3 linked regions of the Macaca mulatta genome follow. The protein of the gene in region 1 interacts with the protein of each later gene in a biochemical or structural test. Links are inferred from orthologs where the notes say so. Each region holds a gene or a part of one and is shown on either strand. Other genes may lie near its edges.

Evidence for each region. The genes of interacting proteins can lie anywhere in the genome.
Region 2: the proteins of S100A6 (region 1) and CEP43 form a complex in vitro, tested with the Homo sapiens proteins (2 studies listed by BioGRID and IntAct, with this or other methods). The link is inferred for Macaca mulatta from reciprocal best matches to the Homo sapiens genes S100A6 and CEP43.
Region 3: the proteins of S100A6 (region 1) and CACYBP are reported together in a solved structure, tested with the Homo sapiens proteins (2 studies listed by BioGRID and IntAct, with this or other methods). The link is inferred for Macaca mulatta from reciprocal best matches to the Homo sapiens genes S100A6 and CACYBP.

Annotation. Positions count from the first base shown.
Region 1 is NC_133406.1:113,505,287-113,512,718, forward strand, and holds S100A6 (protein S100-A6), read left to right. Parts: upstream 1-3,100; 5' UTR 3,101-3,218; exon of another isoform or gene 3,219-3,378; intron 3,379-3,806; 5' UTR 3,807-3,827; coding exon 3,828-3,965; intron 3,966-4,348; coding exon 4,349-4,483; 3' UTR 4,484-4,567; downstream 4,568-7,432. Other genes in the region: S100A5 (protein S100-A5), read left to right, coding at 1,772-1,912. UniProt on the Homo sapiens protein: May function as calcium sensor and modulator, contributing to cellular calcium signaling.
Region 2 is NC_133409.1:5,062,938-5,070,559, reverse strand, and holds part of CEP43 (centrosomal protein 43), read left to right. Parts: intron 1-3,527; coding exon 3,528-3,754; intron 3,755-5,967; coding exon 5,968-6,080; intron 6,081-7,622. UniProt on the Homo sapiens protein: Required for anchoring microtubules to the centrosomes. Required for ciliation.
Region 3 is NC_133406.1:32,462,030-32,469,651, reverse strand, and holds the end of CACYBP (calcyclin-binding protein), read right to left. Parts: intron 7,071-7,622; coding exon 6,851-7,070; intron 4,632-6,850; coding exon 4,535-4,631; intron 4,277-4,534; coding exon 4,177-4,276; intron 2,786-4,176; coding exon 2,688-2,785; intron 1,209-2,687; coding exon 1,052-1,208; 3' UTR 365-1,051; downstream 1-364. UniProt on the Homo sapiens protein: May be involved in calcium-dependent ubiquitination and subsequent proteasomal degradation of target proteins. Probably serves as a molecular bridge in ubiquitin E3 complexes. Participates in the ubiquitin-mediated degradation of beta-catenin (CTNNB1).

The sequences.
Region 1 (7,432 bases):
GTTTCACCATATTGGTCAGGCTGGTCTTGAACATCTGACCTCGTGATCCATCCGCCTCGGCCTCCCAAAGTGTTGGGATTACAGGTGTGAGCCACTGCGCCTGGCCAAGGATAAATAAGACTCTGTCACCCAGGTTAGAGTGCAGTGGTGTGCTCATGGCTCACTGTAGCCTTGAACTTTCAGGCTCAAGCGATTCTCTCACCTCAGCCTCCTGAGAAGCTAGGACTACAAGCGAGTACCACCATGATTAGATAATTTTTAAAATTTTTTGTAGAGATGGGGTCTCACTATTTTACCCAGGCTGTTCTTGAACTCCTGGTCTCTAATAATCCTATCGCCTCGTCCTCCCAAAGTGCTAAAATTACAAGCATGAGCCACTGTGCCTAGTCTTATTATTTTTACAGTTAAAAAAATCAATGCTCAAATGCATCAAATAACTTGCCTAAGGGGGCTGAACTGGAGTTCTGGGCCAGGCCGGTGAATTATCCTCCCTGTTTCCTTTAAAATTTGGCCTGGGTGCCTCTCCATCTATTACACCTTGAGCCCTGGTAGGCCCTCCCAGAAAGAAGGTCCACAGTGTGCCACATGGGCAGGGGACCAAAGCAGGGGTGGGCGTCCCCAGGCCTGATCTCTAGCTTCTGCCATGTTCCCTGCATCCTGGAGTTAATGAGGGCAAAGGGAGAGGCCACGGGTACAGTAGGGGTTAATTACAGAAGGAGAAACGCCCATGGGAGGGCCTGGCAATAACAGGAGCCCAGGCTGGGGACTAGGATCATATCACAGACAAGCAGTTTCCGCCTCCATAAGTCCCAATGTCTCCTGTGAAAACCTGTAGCTGATGGCAATGATGAGGAGACATCAGGATCTGCTTGTCTATATTTTCTTCCTGTTCCACCCAAAGGACCCTGACTCCATCGTCGTAGTGGAGCCAGGCTGGGACATCAGAGGACCAGACAAGAGTGCACAACTGGGCTCCAGGCAGGCCTCTTGCACAGCTCTCCTAGCAGCAGAGGGATGCAGTGGCTTCACAGCCCCGGTGCACTGCTCTCATTGAGAGACATTTTGTCTGGGCTTATTCTCACCTAGTCCTTAGAACGGGGAGAGAGTCACTCAGAGACTTGGATAACGCTCAGTGCCACATAATCAGCAAGGTTTTTTTTTGAGAAGGAGTTTCATTCTTGTTGTCCAGGCTGGAGTGCAATGCGCATGATCTTGCTCAATGCAACCTCTGTCTCTCAAGTTCAAGTGATTCTCCTGCCTCAGCCTTCCAAGTAGCTGGGATTACAGGGACGCACAATCATGCCCTGCTAATTCTGTATTTTCAGTAGAGATGGGGTTTCATCGTGTTGGTCAGGCTGGTCTTGAACTCCTGATGTCAGGTGATCTACCCGCCTCGGCCTCCCAAAGTGCTAGGATTACAGGTGTGAGCCACCGCGCCTGACCCAGCAAGCTGTTTTTATCAGGTGTTAGTATAAAACCCAGATGATTGTTTATTTGGCTGGGGGACAGTGTTGCAGGGAAGGCAGGATAGGCTAGCATTCCCGCTGTCATTTATTTCCATTCAGGAGTCAGGTCCCTGACCCCCTACTTCATGCCAGGCCCTTGCCTAGGTGTGGGCAGCAGGCAGACTCTGGGGGTCGAGATGCTGACAGTGTCACTGACTCAGCTGGGGCTCACACTGAGGTTTCAGGGTGGGTATGACACCATGCAGTGGTGCGAGGGCAGGGCTGGGAGTGGGGTCTGAGTTGTCCCTCCACCTGGGTCTGTGAAGATGAAGGACAACAGCATCGATGACTTGATGAAGAGCCTGGACAAGAATAGTGACCAGGAGATCGACTTCAAGGAGTACTCGGTGTTCCTGACCACGCTGTGCATGGCCTACAACGACTTCTTCCTAGAGGACAAGAAGTGACCCGGGCTGCCCTCCGCCCTTACCCTCCACCCCTTGCTGCTGACCTTGGCTGCTCCTCTCATGGACCCTCTTTGGCCCCCTGCCCTCCTCTCCCTCCCAGATGGACCCTTCCATGGGAGGAAATAAAGTTTCCATTGCAGGTGCTGGGAGTCTGGTTTTGAAGCTGTCTTGTCTACCTTGGCCTGGGGAGAGGGGAGCACAGGAGGGGTCTCTCCTTGAGTGGGTTGAGACAGCCTCTGCCTCTGGGGTTTAGGGTCCTGGGGTTTCACTGCATTCTTCTCCTTCCTTGGTGTGGATGTCTCATTGGTCTTGTCGTGGCTTAGTTTTGCCTGCCTGGAAAACGGGGAAGTCAGGCCAGGCGGGAACTCTGCAAGGATGCAGAGGAAGCTAAGAGGGAAAGTTGCTTTGAGAGGAGGACACTGGGAGGGGTTGGGAGTGGCAGGCAGGCCTGACTTGTCCATAGCTCACCTGAGGCCACCTTGGCAGCACCTTTAGGAAGGGCAAGTCTGGCCTCCACACCAGCCCCCTCCCTCTTCTCCATTTCCCCTTCAACAGCACCCCTCTCATCTTCTCTGGGGGCCAATGCTTTCTTCTTTCCCTACCTCCTCCATCGAAATCTTTTCACAGGGGAGGGTCTGAAATAACGAATGGTGCTTACAGGGCTGGGTTCCCGCCTGCATGCACACTAACACGAAAGGTGCTGTAGTGAATGGAATTTGGGGCAGTGAGGGGAAGGCGTGGAGATGTGGTAGGAACTTGTTGCTGGTGGGGGATGGGTGCCATAGATATCCTTTAGACTACAGGCTACTTCCCCTATCTCCTTTGGGGTGACCCTGAGTATTCTCTGAGGGACACCGGAATCCTGTGAGGCGCCCTCCTTGCCCACATTGACGCTGCGCTGGCTCGAGGGTCACATTCATGGTCTGGCAGAGGGAGCAGGGGTGACCGCCGCCGTCCGCCTCCTGCTCCCCTTGCCGAGTCACGTGTCACGAAGAGCAAACTGAGCAAAGTGAGCTGCGCAGATGAGGGGAGACTCGTCGTCACCGGGCTTGCAGTGGCATCTGCTGGGCTCCCCCATCCCGTCCTAACCCGGAACAGCCCCGGGCAGGAGGCGTGGAAAGTCGAGGGGAGAAACTGCGAATGTGTGTTGTGTAAGCCAAGGCGCAGGGTGGGGCGCGGGCGGGACTTGGGCGGGTGGGGTGGGCTTGGCCGAGCCTCCGGGGCATCGACCGCTATAAGGCCAGCCGGACTGCGACACAGCCCATCCCCTCGACCGCTCCCGTCGCACTTGGCCGCCTCCCTACCGGTGAGTTCTCGCCAGGAGCCCTGGGTACTTCCCAGGGCCAGCCGTCCTCACGCTGGGGCTCCAGCCATCCCCTGCCCCGTCCAGCTGCTGGATTCAGACTGGGGCCGTCTGTGGCGCTCCCCCGCTGGAGGGATAGTCAGAAGCAGCAGTGCTGTGCCAGGCAGGCCTTGGGCTAAGGGATCCCAATGGGGTGTGCTCTTTTGGGGTGCGGAAGGGAGTGCCCTGGGTGTGTCATTGCCACCACGTGTGGCCCTGTGAGGCTGTGCTTAAGCTGCCTGTGCAGCCTCTATCCCCTTCCCCTGCCCAGCCATACTCCCTAACTTCTGGATCCCCTGAAGGACAGTTCTCAGCTGTGCCCAAAGCTACTGTTCCTATATGCTTCTTAGAATCCTTAAGCCACCTCTCCTGCCTTGACCCTAGTCTTCTCTCTCCTTCCCCTTCAAGTCCTGGGCTGTCTCCTGATGCCATTGTGTGTGGCCTGAGACTGGGTGGTTCCAGAGGGGTCGGGGCTAGTGCAGGCAGCATTATGGGGCGGTGTGGGTGAGAAGTCCTTGCTCCCATGGCACTGACAAGGCCCTCTGCTGCCAGCTCCAAGTCCAGCCCTCAGCCATGGCATGCCCCCTGGATCAGGCCATCGGCCTCCTTGTGGCCATCTTCCACAAGTACTCCGGCAGGGAGGGTGACAAGCACACCCTGAGCAAGAAGGAGCTGAAGGAGCTGATCCAGAAGGAGCTCACCATTGGCTCGGTGAGTGGCCTCCTCTGCAGGACCCCTTTTCCCACCCTTGTCCTTTGGAAGCAGGATTAGGGGAGGGAGAGGTGCCAGGTGCATCTGACTCATATTTACCCACATTCTGAGGCCCTGGTCCACATGTCTTACTGAGCTGTAGACCCACTCTCCCAGAGGGTAGGGGATGCTCCCAGCCTGATATCCATCGCTCCAAATGAGGGCCAGTAACTGAGGAGTAGCTGAGGAGAAGTAATGCCAAAGTGAAACTCAAGGTGGACATAGGTCCTTGATGATGAGGGAGCACAGATCCACTTGCAGAGATGGCTGCCTGGGAGGGGGAAGCGGAAGAATCCAAGATTGTCATCACCACTGAGTCTGGATTTCACATTCTAACACGTTAGAAGCTGCAGGATGCTGAAATTGCAAGGCTGATGGAAGACTTGGACCGGAACAAGGACCAGGAGGTGAACTTCCAGGAGTATGTCACCTTCCTGGGGGCCTTGGCTTTGATCTACAATGAAGCCCTCAAGGGCTGAAAATAAATAGGGAAGATGGAGTCACCCTCTGGGGGTCCTCTCTGAGTCAAATCGAGTGGTGGGTAATTGTACAATAAATTTTTTTTTGGTCAAATTTACCCTTGTGTCCTGGTTTCCGAATTATTTCTGTTCCTCCTTGACTTAGTGGGGCACCAGCCATCGGAAGATTTGCTCATAGTCAACCTCTGAAAATGACTCATTGACTCGCCAGGCCAGGGGACCCACCCTGACAAGGCTCCCTCTAGCACATAAGGTGCCTTTATGTGAATGAGGAGAGATGCCCCTCTTGGCAATGCCATCCTAAGGAAAGCCTCAAGTGGTTTCCAGTAGAGAGTGTCCTGGGATGAGCTTGGAGATGGAAATGGTCCCTGGGCTGGGATGTGATGGAGTTTGGGGGCCTGGAAGTGGGGCAGAGATAGTCCCAGAGGCTCCCAGATGAGTTTTGCTCTGGGTGTGGCAAGAAGGGCCCTGGGGTGGGGCAAGTCCCCTTTCTCACCACAGTGCAGGGGGCAGATAGGACACATCTGAGATGCCTGAGGCTTGGCTGGGGGAGTTTCCTAGACCAGTGAGGACGCTGTGTGACTGAGTCTACTGCGGCTGCACAGGTCCCAGGTGGAGTTGGGGAGGCACACTCTAGGAGTGTGTCCCTGCATTCAGGGATGAGGGCCTTTTTGTTGGAATGGTGGTCTGAGGAGCTGGCAGCTGTACCAACACGTGAACCAGGGGGTGCTCAGTAATGGGGCGGGGTGTCTCTGCAGCCTCAGCATAATGACTCATTCGGCACTTCCACGGGATCCCAGCCTGGATCTCAGCCCCATCAGAGAAGATGACTAATTGAATTACTGTCCATCGTCTGCATTAGTGTTTTCAGGCAGGAGGGAAGAGGGTAAGGAGGGTAAATGCTGTTTCCGGATGATGCCACATCATTCAGCCTCTCTAGGCCTAGTCCGAGCTGGGCAAGTCCACCTCTAGCTCCTGGGGAAGAGATCTTGACTTTAGATGGAGACCACATCCTTCCGTCCCTCTCACCTCCCCCTCTTCCCTTGGGGGTCCAACTTTGTGGAATTAAGTTGTCTTCTGAATCCACTGGGTGGGGATTGGTAAACAGCTGGGAGCCGCACCTTCTTGGAGCCCCTCCTTCTCTATTGCCTCCCCTGTCCTGCAGGGAGAAGTCGCGCTGTTGGCTGCAAGAGACCGGGGACCGAATTCCCCCTCTGCACAGCCGTGCCCAAGCCTTGGCTCTATTCAGCTCCCTCTGGAAAAGTACGCACTCCCCAACCCCTCCCGCGCCCCGCTAGGTTCCCGCCCTACGCCCCTTTCCTCCCCCTTTCTTCCAGTTCCTCGCCGCCTATCTTCCAGTGGCGGACAACTTGGGGCTCGGAGCGAGCGCCCTCCTGTGAGCAGAGAGCAGCAGGCAGCGGGGACAGTCGGGTTAGTTTTCTTGAGCCTCTGGCAGGGGCCTGCCGTAGGTCTGTGGCCTGGCAGTCACCGAGTCCTTAGAAGAGGAAGACAGAATAGGGCGCCCCGGGAACGTCAGGGTAGGTGATCCTTTGGCTCCCGGCAATCAGCCCTAGAATTAAGCAACTTAGCTTCACAATCGACACACCTACCACAAGTAAGTCCATGAGGGAAAGGCAGTCCCTTTGTAAAGACAAATGGAATCTGAACCTGAACCCTGCGCCTCCCCTCCCCCACCTGCAACTCTTCTGCAAGGCTGGAAGACCTTCGTACAAATAAATGCTGCCTGCGGAGAGGGAAGAGGAAGCCCGCTGCTGCGGGGAGGGGATGCTCAGGCAAGGCAGTCCGCCCGGCGTTCCTGGGGAGCTCTGGTGGGTGGGCAGGCCACCGGTGCAGGGGAATCAACACAGGTGCACGGTCCACCTGCTAAGTAAACAGGCGTGTCCTTTCGCTTCTGCTTCTCCACAGTGGTGGAGGGGAACGGGAACATGGATTTCAAGAATAAGACAAAAAACAAAACAAACAGCAAATCTTTAGGGGTATAATTTTTAAGTTTTTTTTTTTTTTGGCAGGGGAGGGGAGGGAAGCAGTATTTACAATGGAATATGGTAGGTGCAGCAGTCAAATGGTGGAATTGGGTGTGGAGAGGTGCACAGACTGGACATTTTATTGCTCCAACCAACTTAAAGTTGGAATTGAATCCTTTTAGCTCACTGTTGAGTATGGTGTGGGCTTATAGGATGGGGAAAAGTTAGGATGTGAGCTGAGGGCTTCGTGAGAGGTCACTTTACTTTTCTGAAGGTTGAGCAGTGGGAGTGGCTCTACATCTCTCCACTTCCTTCAGCTGAGGTCAGCCCATTACTGACATTAATCCTACAATCTAACCACCCTAACGCCGGTGAAGCTGCAACAGCAGCACCACAGACCATCTCTGTAAGCTGGGGCGGGCCCCAGGTAAGGGGGTTTAGGACTGAGTTACAGGAAGTGGCTCTCTGTTTTTTGCCAAGCAAATAGGAAATTGTCAAGAATAATGCCACCATCTTTGTATAAGACCACACTTGTATAGCAACTTCGTTTTCATGAGGTGCCTGTCATAGCCATTGCGTCTGGTCATCTTCAGAAGATTTATGTATAGTACGTATTATTTTATTTTAATAGAGACTGTTTCTCTCTGTTGCCCAGGATAGAGTGCATAGCTCACTGCAGCCTCCAATTCCTGGGCTCCAGTGTTCCTCTCACCTCAGCCTCCCGAGTAGCTAGGACTACAGGTGTGCACCAACATGTCTAGCTAATTTATTTTTTGTAGAGATGAGGTCTTGCTGTTTTGCTCAAGCTGGGCTTGAATTCCTGACCTCAAGTGATCCTCCCTACTTGGCCTCCCAAAGTGCTGGGATTAAGGTGTGAGCCATGTGAGCCGCTGTGCTCAGCTTGTATAGTATATATTATTAACCCCACTGGACAAGTGAGAAGAGTGAGCTACAGGGAAGCCAT
Region 2 (7,622 bases), on another chromosome or scaffold:
ATTTAGCTTCATTTTGAATCTTCAACTTAGCTAAATCCAGGTGATATAAAACTCAAGTAACTGAAGTTAATGTACATAACATAAGTTCGTCTTAACTCATGATAAGGGTTTTTAAAGCAGATTCCAGGGTATACATACGTATACAGATGGTCCCCAATGTTACAACGGTTTGATTTATGCTTTTTCGACTTTATGATGGTACAAAAGTGATATACATTAAGTAGATACCATGCATTGAGTTTTGATCTTTTCCCAGGACAGTAATTGGTGGTACGATTCTCTCTCGGGGCTGGGCAGTGACCTTGAGCCATGGCTTCCAGTCAGCCACATGGTCATGAATGTCCAACATTTTTTGGATGTTGTGTTTTTGCACTTCATCATGTCTATGAAGTGCCCATTTTCAACTTTGTGATATTTTCACTTGACAGTTTATCAGGTAAGGCCTTTTGTGGTTTGAGCATCTGTGTACACGCATACATCTGCTGTATACTTGGAGGAACCATTGAAACTACTCTCAACGTTTTCAGTTTGGTTTTAATCTGCAAAATGTGTTGATGACAAATATTTCTCCTCTGTGTAGATTTTTTAAGTAGTGAAGTTTATTTGGAATTAAGTTTAGTGAATTCATTAATAACCTAGCTGGGTAATGATCTTTTGGCAAAAATGAGCCATAGTTATAAAGCAGTAACATGTTACTGTGTGGTTTAGAACTTGATTTTGAGAGCAGTTCCAAAGCAGATTGTTTCAGAATTTATTTTTACTTCCTGGATTAAGAGAACTATATTTTTAAAACAAAATAATTATGTTATGTTTACAAGTATGTGTTGTGTAATATAGTAATTCTCTGTAAAACTTGTCTTCCTAAAACTGGTCTTTCTGTCCATAGCAGGAATATTGGTCAAACCTGTCAAAAAATAATCATGGATACCTATTAGTTGTTCAGCTTTGATATTAGATAGTTCATTATGTGGATTTAAGTTACGTTGGCAGTGTGAATTCTTGGGGAAATCAGCATAATTATTGTTTCTCATAATGTTGCTTTACATTTACATTTTTCAGTTTCTTTCATGCCAGTTATTCTTTGGTACTTTCTCATGAGTGTTTAGAAGGGGAATCTGTCATGGCCATAGGCTCTGTCATTGTACATATGTTTAAATGTCACATCAGGGTATTTATTTCCAAATGCATATTCTTTTAAATAAATCCATTATTAATGTAAAAATCAGAAATTACAACTGGTGTGAATTACATACTTTTCGATATTTGATAATACCAGGAAAACGTCAAGAAAGTTGTTAGGAAATTTTTGAAAGTTTCTGCCTCTTTGAAAATATGTTGTCTAAAATTATAACTTGGTATTTATTTTTTCAGACATCTCTTTATAATCATTAATTTATATTAATAAAATGGAATGTATAGCTCTCTAGAAGGCACTAAATTTGCACAGCATGTATCTTGCCTACTGTCAACTAGTCAAGACCTCTACCTGGTGTAAAGATGTAAACGTATATCATAAGACATGCATAATGCATTCTGTCTGTACCCATATGAAAAGTGAAACCATCCTTCAAGAGCATCTTGTTTGATGATGTCTAACCCAAACTTTGGTCACCATGCTTCAGTAGTTACTACTCTTTAATTCTTTCTCAGCCATCCATCCCTTCTTTCTTAACTCCTAGATATAATTTGGTCTGAAAAATACGAATCTAGTTCAATTCTTGAGGAAACTCATGCCTAGGAAATTAATTTACTTAAGATTATATGGGCCGGGCACGGTGGCTCACGGCTCATACCTATAATCCCAGCACTTTGAGAGGCCAAGGCGAGTGAATCACTTGAGGTCAGGAGTTCGAGACCAGCCGGGCCAACACGTCGAAACCCCATTTCTACTAAAAATACAAAAATTAGCCGAGCGTAGTAGCACACGCCTGAAATCCCAGCTACTTAGGAGGCTGAGGCAGGAGAATTGCTTGAACATGGCAGGCAGAGGTTGCAGTTAGCGCATTTAGCCCAGATCACCCCACTGTACTCTAGCCTGGGTGACAGAGCGAGACTCTGTCTCAAAAAAAAAAAAAAAAAAAAAAAATTATACGACTGGGTGTAGTTTGTGCCTGTAATCTCATAAACTCAGCTACTTGGGAGACTGAGGCAGGAGGATTGCTTGAGCCCAGGAGTTTTAAGATCAGCCTGGGTGACATAGTGAGACCCTGTTTCTTTAAAAAAAAAAAATGCAGTTAATAATTTTGGACTACATTCCAGATTCTTTGTTTCAGTTGAGTGCTTTTTCTAGTACTCCAGGTATTTTACACAATACTGCTCTCTTTAGTACACAAGGCTGACTTTTGGGAAATTGCCATTTTTAACCCATAAAGCCCACAAATTCATTATAATTTAGCCGAATAGCATAAATATTGAGTTAACCTCTGGAATCAGGCTTTGACTTTGATATTGACCTTACCACTTAACTAACTGGAGACTTTGACAAGTGACATAAATGTCTGTCTCTGTGTTTCCTTATTTATATCCACAGAGATAAAGCTATCTCCAGATCATAGGGCCATTTTGAAGATTAAATGAGATAAGGTGAAGCATTTGAATGTTCACCATAAATGTTAGCTGCTTTTTATTATTACTACTTTTTATTATTACTAGCATTATTTATTTTTTCATTATTATTGTTAACATAGACCCGTCTAAGGGCAGAAAGAAATCTGACCAAGAATGGCGTGAAAGTCAGCCGTGAAGGTTAGGACTCCCTGAAAATAAGAAAAGAAAAGTGGTAACATCACTCTATATCCAAGGGCATGGATAAGGATGATTCAGAATTTTTTTTATAACGTTGTGTTAAGATATGTAGAGAAATATACACGTACACACACATAGATATATATGTCCATGGACATCAAAATAAGTATAGGTTAGGAAGTTACCCTGGAAGTCAGAATTGAGATAATTATTTTAATTAGCAAATGTTTATGTTTGAGTGGTTGAAGGCAGTGTCTTTCACCTTGATGCCTGTTGTGTTTAGCACTGGATGGAAAATGGCTATTTTTACGAATGACTACTTTAATGCTTGGTTCATTCATATGTAATCTTTCTTTTCTCCTTTAATAGTAGTGGTCTCTCCTGTTTTCAAGTTGAAAAATGTATTAAGGTAATTTATAAAGCAATGACATATGGAAGAGGAGATGGGAAATTGTTTCTCAATGGGAAAGTGTTTATAAATGGGATAGGTATACTAAAGCTATTTCCATTTAGGGAAAGAGGAAAGGAATGGTATTAATATATTTCTCTAATATTTTTCCACCTTTGAAAGTTTGCCATGTTAGGAATCCTGGGGATGGAGTGATGAATCATGGCATTGGTCTGCAGTTCACACTGCTGGGAGCCGCCCCCCCCCCCCCACACACACACAGAGGTTGCACACACACAAACACAGGTTTCCTTATGCTCATGCGACTTCTTTTATTATTTAAAATATCTTAAAGTTTTATCTCACCAAGGAGGCCTTTTCTCTTTCTTTCTAGAAAGCCAACAATGAGGCCAATCAGAGTGATACAAGTGTCTCTCTGTCAGAACCCAAGAGCAAAAGCAGCCTTCACTTACTGTCCCATGAAACAAAGATTGGATCTTTTCTAAGCAACAAAACTTTAGATGGCAAAGACAAAGCCGGCCTTTGTCCAGATGAAGATGATATGGAAGGAGATTCTTTCTTTGATGATCCCATTCCCAAGCCAGAGAAAACTTATGGTTTGTGAGTAAATAGTTTTTGAACTGTGAGACTGGGGGTTTAAAAATAAATGTTTTCATTTTGTAGTTAAAAAATAATGAACTATGGATGGTTTATAATTATTGGATCCATAAATCTGATTATGCATTGTTAATGCCTTTGATGTTGTAAAACAACCCCAGGTTTTAGAAAAACCTAGACATGATTTATTCTAACAGGTAAGTGTAGATTGTCAGCCACTTGCCAGGGCTGTTCCAGGGTGGGGTACAGCAATGATAGAAGAGGAAGACTCCTGCCCTCAGGAAGCTCCCGCTCTGGCAACGGAGTCAGGCAATGAGGGTTATGCTGCGGTGTGTTGGGTGATGAGAGCAGAACAGTGATGGAAGCCGAAGTGTGTGGTCAGGGCAGGTGCATGTCAGCTGTCCAAATTGGAGGGGGCCTCACTTGGAGCTGCCCAGTAAGCAAAGAACTAGAGGAGATGAGGGAGTTGCCATGGGTTGATGGAGCTCTGGGGAGAGGAAACAGCAGACAGCAGAGAGGTGAGTGGGGACGTAGCAGAGAGAGCAAGATGGGGATCAGATGAGGTGGACTCAGAGATGAGAGGCTGGATGGCTTTCCTTTGAGACTGGAAGCCCTGAGGGTCTTGATCTAGCGTCCATTACAGAAGGATCCCAGGGTTGCTGAGGAAGGTTGGACTTGGAGTTTCCAGGTAGGAGGCCATTAATGATTATTCAGGTGAGAAGTGATAGAAGTGGTGGGGAGAAACAGGTGGGTTTTAGAAGTATTTTGAGGTTAGATGGAAAAGGATTTGCCAGTAAGTGCTAGAGAAAAAAGTAATATCCAGAGTGGCATCATGGTTTTTAGCCTGCAAAACTAGAAGGTTGGAAACCCATTAGATGAAGAATGGCAAGAGGAAGAGTGGATTGCACAGACAGGTGGCATGAAAGCCTGGAGGCCCCTGTCGCTGTGCTAAGTTAGAGAAGATTGCTAGTGGAAATCCGAAGTAGGCGATTGGGTATGTGAGTTGGGATTGGGAGAGGTCTAGGCTGCAGATGTAAATTAGGAGTCTTCAGTTTGTAGATAATGTGGGTGTGGGAGACTACAGAGGATCACCAAGGAAGCAGGTCCTGCACACCTTGAGGCCAGAGTAGGGAGCTGGAAGCAGTGGAGGAGATGGAACCAGGAGAGTGGTGTCTTTGGAGGTGGCGGTAGGGAGGAGTAGCTGTATGATGCCATTGGATTTAGCCATCTGGAGGTCAGTGATGACCTTGACACAGTTTTGTTGGAATGGGGGTGTGAGGCAGGTGAGAGAATTAGAGTACATTCAAGACAGGAAAGGATTGTAGATGACAGATAGTTTTCTGATGAGTTGTAAAAGTGTGCAGAGGAACAGGGTGGTGGCTGGTGGGGTAGGATTTAGGGCTGAAAAGCGTGTTTAGGTGGGAGAAAGAACAGCATGTATGCAGACGAACACTGCTCAGCTTTAAAGATGGAAGAATTAATGATGTAAGGGAGTGAGAGGAGAACTCCTGGAGGCCTGCACAGCAATGGAATCCCATGCAGGGGCTTGTGTTTGCTGGAAAAGTGGAGAGCGTGTGGGTCCCGTTGTAGGCAGGGGGTGGATATGATGGTGGCACCTGTGCAAGCTGTCACCGTAGTTCATAGTTGCATGAGGATGGAGGACGGAGGTTGCGATTTGAAGAGAGCGGAGAAAGTGTGAAATCTTTCTATAACAAAGTAAGGCGAGAAGGGACTGTGGAAACCTGGGGGGTGTTGGGCAGTGTTAAAGGTACCCTTGAGGTTAGTGGTCATGACTTTAAGGGGAGTTCATCAGCATGGCTGTTTGTGGTTTCTGTAAACAATATTTAATCTGTGAGGTGGCACTTATTTGCTAGTAAACTCCTGTATTGTCCCTTGGCTGCATGTCTGGGTGATGGAAAAGGGCTTCTGGAAAAAATCACAGTGCAGAGGTCAATTTAGTTTATAAGATTATCAAACAGAATTCTAAAGAGAGGTGAGCTGATTTCTTACACCCTGGCTGTGCTGATTGTGGTTGATCTGTAGTTTGCACTCCCTTGGTATACTTTATGGTTTTGAATTTTTAAAGTCTATATTCTTGATTTCCAGCCACTGTGCATATAAAGTATCTTTTAAGTTGCTTTTGTTTCAGTGGCAGGATAAAAGTGTTTAGTGGCAGAACATAAGAGCACCGATTAACTGTCCTTGTTTCTTGCTAGGAGGAGTGAACCTAGGAAGCAACCAGGAAGCCTGGCCTCGCTCTCGGATGCACCCCCCTTAAAAAGTGGACTCAGCTCCCTGGCGGGGGCCCCTTCCTTAAAAGACTCTGAGAGTAAGTGCCCAAAGATGTGGGCTTGAATACTCGGGATATTTTTTCTCTAATTAAGCACTATATGATTATTGTTGATTTTTTTTTTCCAGGAAAATCACTAAAATAACCTATAATTTTATCACTCAGAAATCTTTCCTGTTAATATTTTGTTACTTCTTATGTGGTCATATTTTATATGTTGTTTTGTATTCTGCCCCTTCCTATACCTACATACCATCGGAATACTTTTTAGTTGATTTTTTAGCTGATTTGTATTATCTATAGAAATATAATTTTTAAATCATCTCTCCTTTTTTGGACATTTACAGTGACTTGAGTCGGATTTGCTTTCAATTAATTTTAAAAAATTTGTTTAGTGATACCACAGTAAGTATCATAAAATGTTAAATAAAAAATTATTCTGCAGATCATTTTCAAGAATGACCTGACATGTCATCGTAAATGCAGCAGAGCTAAAGAGCACTGATTACATGTGGAATAGTCTAGCTCTGGCACTAGTTACTTTCCCACCTCTCCCCACACAGTGATAGGAATTTAAACAGCATAGCCCTGAACAGGTAGGATGGGCAGAGGTCCTTTGGAAACCATATAATAGTAAATGTTGTATTTAATTAGCATAGTGTTTCAGAGCTTCGTGTACCTCTTTTGGAAAGTTTCCAAAAGTAGATTCACTAGGAATTTGCAGTATGAGTTTTGCATAATTGTCCAGTACTTCCGAATCTTTTTGTATTGCTTGATATACTGTGGGACTTCCTAGGGCACATAAGAGAGCCGACCTCTTTCTTCTCTTAAACCAGCCATGTATTTATAAGGTTCGTATCCCTTCCCATTTGCTTCTTTCCTGTGGTTACTGCCACCTTTAAGAAAGGAATCCAGGACATCATGAACGTGTCATTCTGACACTGATTAGAGAATGATCATTTAGAGAGGACGTTGAGAACGAAGGACCAAAAACCAGTGAGGATTGTCACTTTAGTAAATGAAATAGCAGTTGCATTGAAGAAAAATTTAGAAGTTCAAAGGAAAAATAAGATTCACGAAAATAATTAACAGTAGTCTATGAATTCATACCTAACAGGGCTGTTTATGGAAAGTGATGTCTTATAATTAGGCAAAAATATTTTTTGGTGGTTGTGTTCCAATAAAGTAGTATTGTTTATGGTTTAAAAAGGGTTGTAGCCGGGCGCAGTGGCTCATGCCTTTAAACCTAGCACTTTGGGACGCCAAGGCGGGTGGATCACAAGGTCAGGAGTTTGAAACCAGCCTATCTAACATAGGGAAACCCTGTCTCTACTAAAAATACAAAAATTAGTCGGGTGTGGTAGCACGTGCCTGTAGTCCTAGCTACTTAGGAGGCTGAGGCGGGAGAATCGCTTGAACCTGGGAGGCGGAGGTTGCAGTGAGCCGAGGCTGCGCCATTGCACTCCAGCTTGAGTGACAGAGTGAGACTCCATCTCAAAAAAAGGGTTGTAATGCATAGTTTAAGCATTCATTAATCACAGTTTATTTTTTCCTTAGTTTTAGGTTATTATGCTCCTGTCA
Region 3 (7,622 bases), about 81 Mb from region 1:
TTTTTTTTAAATGAGACAGGCTCTCAATCTGTTACCCAAGCTGGAGTACAGTGGCATGATCATAGCTCACTGCAGCTTTAAACTCCTGGGTTCAAGTGATCCTCCAGCTTTAGCTTCCTGAGTAGCTGGGATTATGGGCACCAGCCTCCATGCCTGGCTTCAATTGCTTTCTCTGATCTAACTGTGTTGGTTAATACCTCCAATAAAATATAGTAATGGAGATCACAGGCACTGGTCCTGACTTCAGGGGCAATAGGAATAATTCCTACTAGAAGCCTCATTTTTCTGACATACTCCTAGGCAAATAAATCATAAAACTGTTCTAATGAAGAAAAACTTAACTTTATTGAGCATAGGAATAGACGGGCTTTCAGATTATTTTTTGCTTTATGGTTATTACTTTCATAAACCATCTGATCCACGGCAAAACTAACTGGTACCATACAAAGATGTGTGTCTATTATTGTCATGTTTAGATTTAGTTTCTATTCTATATTCATTGACAAACATATTTCAATCTAGATAGAAACACCTGTGATTGAATTAGTGCATGGTAATGCATGGCATACACATTGCTTAAGGTGGTAATAAGGGGTCAGATGCTCTACAGCAACCTTCAAGCACAGGTACCGATCTGCATTTTATGCAAAACTTCAGGTTTTACTCAATTTTTACACTGGTGGAAGCTGATGTCAGTAACTTAAAGGCAAGCAAATACTTTTCCAATTCTTAGCTGAACAAAAAATACACACAATGTAGCGTTTTTATTGGGCAAGACTTGCTTTTTATATTTCACATGAGAATGCAATTATAACCCTTCCTTGAACAAAATGACCAAGGTACTAATAAAACCATCTTTGCAGGAGTGTTTAATAAGCATATTTTATTTAAATAAATCCTCCAGTAGGAAATGGAGAATTCACTGCCTTTACTTAGAAGGCTATGTAAATAGCTATCTGTCAAATTTATATATGCAGCTCACCAATATTCCCTTACTGGAAACATCAGTATTTCCACATCACATCACAGTTCCCAAAAGGACCTCAAAGTCTCAAAATTCCGTGTCTCCTTTGGCTTGCTTCTCTCTTGATTCCACCCAGGCTTTATTAATGGTTCTCTTCATATCATCATCTCCATCTTCATAAATTTTCTTTAGAACATTCATCAATCCCTCACTAGGATCTGTTTCAGTGTCATAGGAGGGCTTCCTTTAAAAAGAAAATATATACAACAATGGAGAAATGAAGGCACGGGGGAAGATACTATAATTCAGGTTGTTAACATTGGCAGGAAGTAGAGGGATAAGAGGGAAGACAGTGTATCCAAAGATATTCACAATCAAAATGGCACGCCTAAGTTCATCTTAATGAAAACACCACACACCTACCAAGCATGCACACACTTGGTGCATGAAAGAGGTCATCAAAATAGTAAGGGGCTGTTTTTAGGCACAGGGATTTCCCATGTTTTTTTTTTTTTTTTTTTTTTTTTGAGACGGAGTCTCGCTCTGTCACCCAGGCTGGAGTGCAGTGGTGCGATCTTGGCTCACTGCAACCTCCGCCTCCCAGGTTCAAGCAATTCTGTCTGCCTCAGCATCCCAAGTAGCTGGGATTACAGGCACGTGCCACCATGTCCGGCTAATTTTTGTATTTTTAGTAGAGATGGAGTTTCACCATGTCAGCCAGGCTGGTCTCAAACTCCTGACCTCAGGTGATCCACCGCCTCGGCCTCCCAAAATGCTAGGATTACAGGCATGAGCCACCCCGCCTGGCCTCATTTTTAACAGGTAAAATAAGTAAGGATTTGGGAGGTCGAGACGGGCGGATCACTACGTCAGGAGATCGAGACCATTCTGGCTAACACAGTGAAACCCCGTCTCTACTAAAAAATACAAAAAACTAGCTGGGCAAGGTGGCAGGCGCCTGTAGTCCCAGCTACTCGGGAGGCTGAGGCAGGAGAATGGTATGAACCCGGGAGGCGGAGCTTGCAGTGAGCTGAGATCCGGCCACTGCACTCCAGCCTGGGCAACAGAGCCAGACTCTGTCTCAAAAAAAAAAAAAAAAAAGTAAAGATTTGATTTTCTAACTTGTTTTCATTTTTTAAAAGCATGTTTCCTCATAATTTGGAAAAAAAAAATTGAGGGAAAATCACAAACATTACACATGGATGTACCCTGAAGCTCATGTATTTTATAATTAGAAAAGCTCTCCTCTTAAGCCTGAGATACACAGATCTGGACCTGAGTCTTGAATTAGTCAGTACCTCTAGAAGATGAACTGACCTAGAATGCAAGTATCATTGAATAAACATTTTTAAAAGGTCATTATTAAGGAGGATAAAAATATTTTATCTTTTTCACTCTAAACCAGTGACAATGAAAACAACTACGTATCACAAACATCTGAGAAATTTAAAACATACAGGGGTATCTGAGCCTCTCTCGAACTACTGAAACAGAGTATCTGGGAATAGGCACAGTATTTGTATAGAAGTGCCTAGGGTTAACAACCACACTAAAGAGCCAACTGTTAACTACAAAGACCTTAAAAAGCAACTTGCTGGACGCGCCCTCTTCAGGTAGTTTCTGACAGTTGAAAGCAGAAATATATTATCCATAAAGACAAACTTAAAAATCTATGATCTGAAACAATACACTAAAATTCTTTAAAAAATGAAAGTAGACTCACTCTTTTTCTTTGCACTCTTTTTCAACCTGGGTCAGGTAATCCCACCTTGTGTTTTCCACTTTCTTTCTACACAATATAAGAACTGTATCAGTCTTGACCTGGAAGAAAAGCGGGAAAACAAATACAGCTTAGAAGACAAAACAATTATTTAATTAATCAAGTCCCTAGTATGTATAGACTTATTTGGGGTGCTAGTAATACTTGTATGAATAGGCCAAAATCTGAACATTCATGGCGTGAAAAGACCGTAAATAAGTAAAACTTGAATACCGTCATATCCTAGAAAGTGCTGGCAAGACAAAGCAGGTGTTAATGGGGGTGGGAGCAGGAACTTCATTAGGAAGGCCTCCCTGAGGCAAAATCTGAGCTGAAGCTTAAGGTCAGGAGAAGGCAGCTGGCAGAGCCATGTAGAATGGCTCCAAGATGGGATGATCTTCGTGTGTTTGAGGAGCAGGAGGAGTGGCTGGATTTTAGTGACTGAGAGAGATAGTAATATAATAAGAGGGGTCGAGGATAGGCAAGAAACCAAGTCACATAAGGCAGTATGGAGCAAGGTGAGGCATTTGGAAAGTGTGAAAGAAGGGCAATGAATGTACAGGTCTTTAAACAATGATCAACACGACTTCTAGGGATCTTTTGGTACTCTACGTACGGGACTAGTGGATGCGGAAGGGTGCAGGAATACAGCAAATCCAACTATATTTGAGTATCACCTGTAAGCTGTTAAGTAATTATGTATTATAAAAACAGATGGCAGAATGGCATATGTATATACCTAATGCATTAAACTTCATTTATTCAAATTAGGCAGAAAAGAGGGACTATCTGATTTAGTAAAAATTATAAAGAGTAGTTTTTAAAAGACAGTTTCCTTATTTTTATAGCTGTTTCTAACTCCAAGGAGGCTAAGTGCTTAAGACCTCCTTTTATGTATATGAGTATTATGCACAATGCCAACACTACCATTAATTTAAGCACTTTACATATGGTATTGCACTTCAGTGTATCATTTCAACTTTGTGAAATACATTATTACTATTGCATAAATGCAGAAACTGAGGCACAGAGTGATTAAGCTGCCAAAGGTCACAAACAATAAGCGGTAAACCTGGCATAAAACTCAAGTCTCACTCTTAACTACCTTCAAACGTTTACTTCCTTCCTGATTTTAATGGAATATTCTTACAACAGCCTATTCTTCTACAAAAGGAGTTGGCAAATGTTCTCTGTCAAGGACCACACAGTAAATATTTAGGTTTCACTTAGGGCCATGTGGTCTGCTGCAGCCATTTAACTCTGCCATTGTAGCACAAAAGCAGCCACAAACAACACACAAACAAATAAGCCTGGCTATGTCCCAATGAAACATTCACTAAACAGGCAGTGGTCCCTGTTACAGGACAAATTCATTCCAGTTCATCTCAATTCTAAATCAGCTAGGTTCAATCTGGTAAGGTTTCAGAATATTACGACCAAAAAAAGCACTCACTTTTTTTGAACTGCCTTCCACAGAGATGGGTTTCAAGAGATTGTTCACAATCATGGAGTAACTCTTCCCATTTAGATTCTTTACCAAAAGATCGAATGACCTGCAACACAATGGTGAATACATCATCTTTCTAGTTCTATGAAAGGTACTCTTACTCCATCAGAGTGGAAAAAAAGCTGCTAGCTTTATTTCAGGGTGTGCATTTGGCCAGTTAATGCTCACCTCTTGAAAGTAGTTGTAAAGGATAATTAATTCTAAATTTAAGAAGAATTTTAAAAACTGCAAAGAAAAGAGTCTCAAGATAAGGCAATGTTGACTGTTAATGATCATCGTCTTTCCCAATATAATGAGAACTCACCTCTCTGTGAAATGCACCTGCACATTCTCAGTGGGAACTTGATGCACTCCACTCAAGGTAATGTAGATTTTCACAAACTTATCTGACTGATCCCATCCTGGCAACGACAACAAAAGATGGGACATAAGTAAGTCTCTGAAACTATCTCTAGAACAGCAAATGCACATGGCTCATAACTCAGGAAAGTAAAATTATGAAAATCCAGTCATACAAAAATTTGAAACCCAAGAAATTTTCTAGGTTGAGAAATGGAGCCTCAAAGCAGTTAAGTACTCTACCCAAAGTTAGGCATCTAACAAGTGATAGAATTCAGATTCAAATCCAGGTTTCTGAATACAAAGCCTATGCTCTTTTTATCCTTCAGAATAAAAATACGATCACTAAATACATTCTTTAAGATTAGTTCGGCCGGGCGCGGTGGCTCAAGCCTGTAATCCCAGCACTTTGGGAGGCCGAGATGGGCGGATCACGAGGTCAGGAGATCGAGACCATCCTGGCTAACACGGTGAAACCCCGTCTCTACTAAGAAATACAAAAAATAGCCGGGCGAGGTGGCAGCGCCTGTAGTCCCAGCTACTCGGGAGGCTGAGGCCGGAGAATGGCGTGAACCCGGGAGGCGGAGCTTGCAGTGAGCTGAGATCCGGCCACTGCACTCCAGCCTGGGCTACAGAGCGAGACTCTGTCTCAAAAAAAAAAAAAAAGATTAGTTCATTTACTGCTTTTATGGAAACAATTTTGTCCTACATCTAAATATCGGTAGTTCTCCACTAAGCTGGATGGCTAAGTATCAATACTGTCTAATTCCATAACCATTTCTACTTCTCTAAGTAGTATAACAAATGGAATCCTAGCGCTCTTAATTCCTTTCCAGGGCAAAACAGAATGTAAACGACTCCAATTCTTCATCCAAATCTGACAAACCTACTGGTATCTATTAAATGCCATTTCAGTATGTATTATCAACCTACCAGCAAGTCTCTAACCTAGAAGAACTCTGTCAACATACAAGACATATACGCTTCACAAAATACCATCGTATTTGTAGAAAATAAAAAACTTCACAAAAAGCATCTTCTGTTTATCAAGAATATATACATACATATCCCTGACTCTTCCTCACTTAGTCCTACGGAATAGAAACATGCCCCATCCTCCATGACATGTTTTCACACTGCATGCCTGTATCAAAACATCTCATGTACCCCATAAATACATACACCTACTATGTACCCACGAAAATTAAAAAGAAACATAGTGTTGATCAAAAAAATGCCCTAGAGGGTTCCAGAGAACTTCATTTATTAATAGTTTCTTCCCAGTCAGTCCATCCTCCGGTTTGACAAGTTTCTCCCTCAACACAAATCTATGTTCCTGGTTAAAATGCCATAATCCTAAACACCTTCAGACCAGTTTCCCATACTCAACTGAGTACACGGTGCAATTTCATGTAGTACTATATAGTACATCACTTAAGCACGACATACACATGCTTTTCACTATAACAATACTCAAAATAGATCATGCCTTCCAAGTCTCTATTCATGTCCTCTGCTCATGCTGTTCCCTTCCTTTTGCTGAACGTACAGCTCACCCTTCACACTCATCTAATTCTCCCTGTTCCTCACCTCCAGAATTATTTCCTCAGCTATGTTACCTATTATGTGCTAGACATTATTAGCACAAAGAAAAACCAGACTGTCCTTGCTCCAATGAGAGCTCATCACTCTCACTGAAGTTGCACTGCCGCCAAAACAAAAACACTATATACACCACTGAAGGAAAACAGTATTAGTTTTTGCTAATACTGTTTTGCTAATACATTGTTATGCTATGAGTTATACGTCTATGTCCCAACCACACCATGAGAAAGGATTGGGTCTTAGTCACTGTTGTGTATCCGTAAGTCCAAGCACAATAGTGATATACATTAGGTGCTCAAAAATATTTCCTGAATTTAACTGGATTCCTCTCCTCAGTTAATTGTAGTGGTTGGCAGAGTGAAACATAAAACATGATTAAAAACCACCACCACCACCAAAGCGGTGCCTCATATATACTGAATAATTTCAGAATAAGTTCCTTCCTTGTTGCTACTCCTCATCTTTGTAGTAAATCACCTTATTCTTGTTAACAGCTTCTAGAATGTATCCTTTCCTATTTCTATCTAAAGAAAGTTTTATTAAATAAAAACTGATGGGTCTTCCTCCAAGCCACCGAAAACACAGCCTCAAAACTCATTTAAAGATGAATTTGTTAGATCACTATGAGGAATAGGTTGCTCGGAGGCAAAACTGGCCACAGGGAAGCAAGTCATACCATAATTACTGATTTTCACTGTATAGCCCGTTGTAATGGGAGCAACCACAGCAGCTGGTTTTTCATTATCAAGAAGTTCTGCTTTCTTCTGTGATTTCTGTTGCATCTTGTTCTTGATTTCTGTCTCAATCTTGGACTTTTCAGCTGTAAGGGCATCACGTACTCTTTTCCTAGTAGCCTTTTCCAGCAACACCTTTACCTCTTCTAGATCTTTCTGTAGCTGTGTTAAGACAAAAAATAAGTTAGCTATGATCAATAAGGAAATAGCTTGATATTGTGCTTATCACTCATTTCAACTTACTGAAATAAGCACTAAAAATTAAGAGGTTCATCTAAATTTTCTAGGATTGAGTTGCAACTTCAGTTCTTCCCTCCAGCTTATTAACTGTAATTAACTCAAGCTTCCTTTTTTTCCCAAAAGGAAAACTTTGAACAATCTTGAACAAACAATAAATAAGGTAATCAAACCCAAATTTTCCAGTTTATATTTGCTTTAAAATATTTACAAGAAACATCTGCGATTTAAACAGTAAAACAAAGACTTTTTTTTGACAAGGGATTCAGAGATTTCCTTTAACATCTAATCCGAGTGTCATCAGATGTTAGACACTTTTAAAAATTTAAGAGATGAGAGAACACACAGTGACCATGGTAAAATGCTACACAGCAAACTTTACTGAGGTAATGAATGCTCCATTTTCTGTCACTGATTGGTCTTCACTGATCTTCCCACCTCAAATACCTCAAATAAAGAGAGTCCGAATTTTTAAGA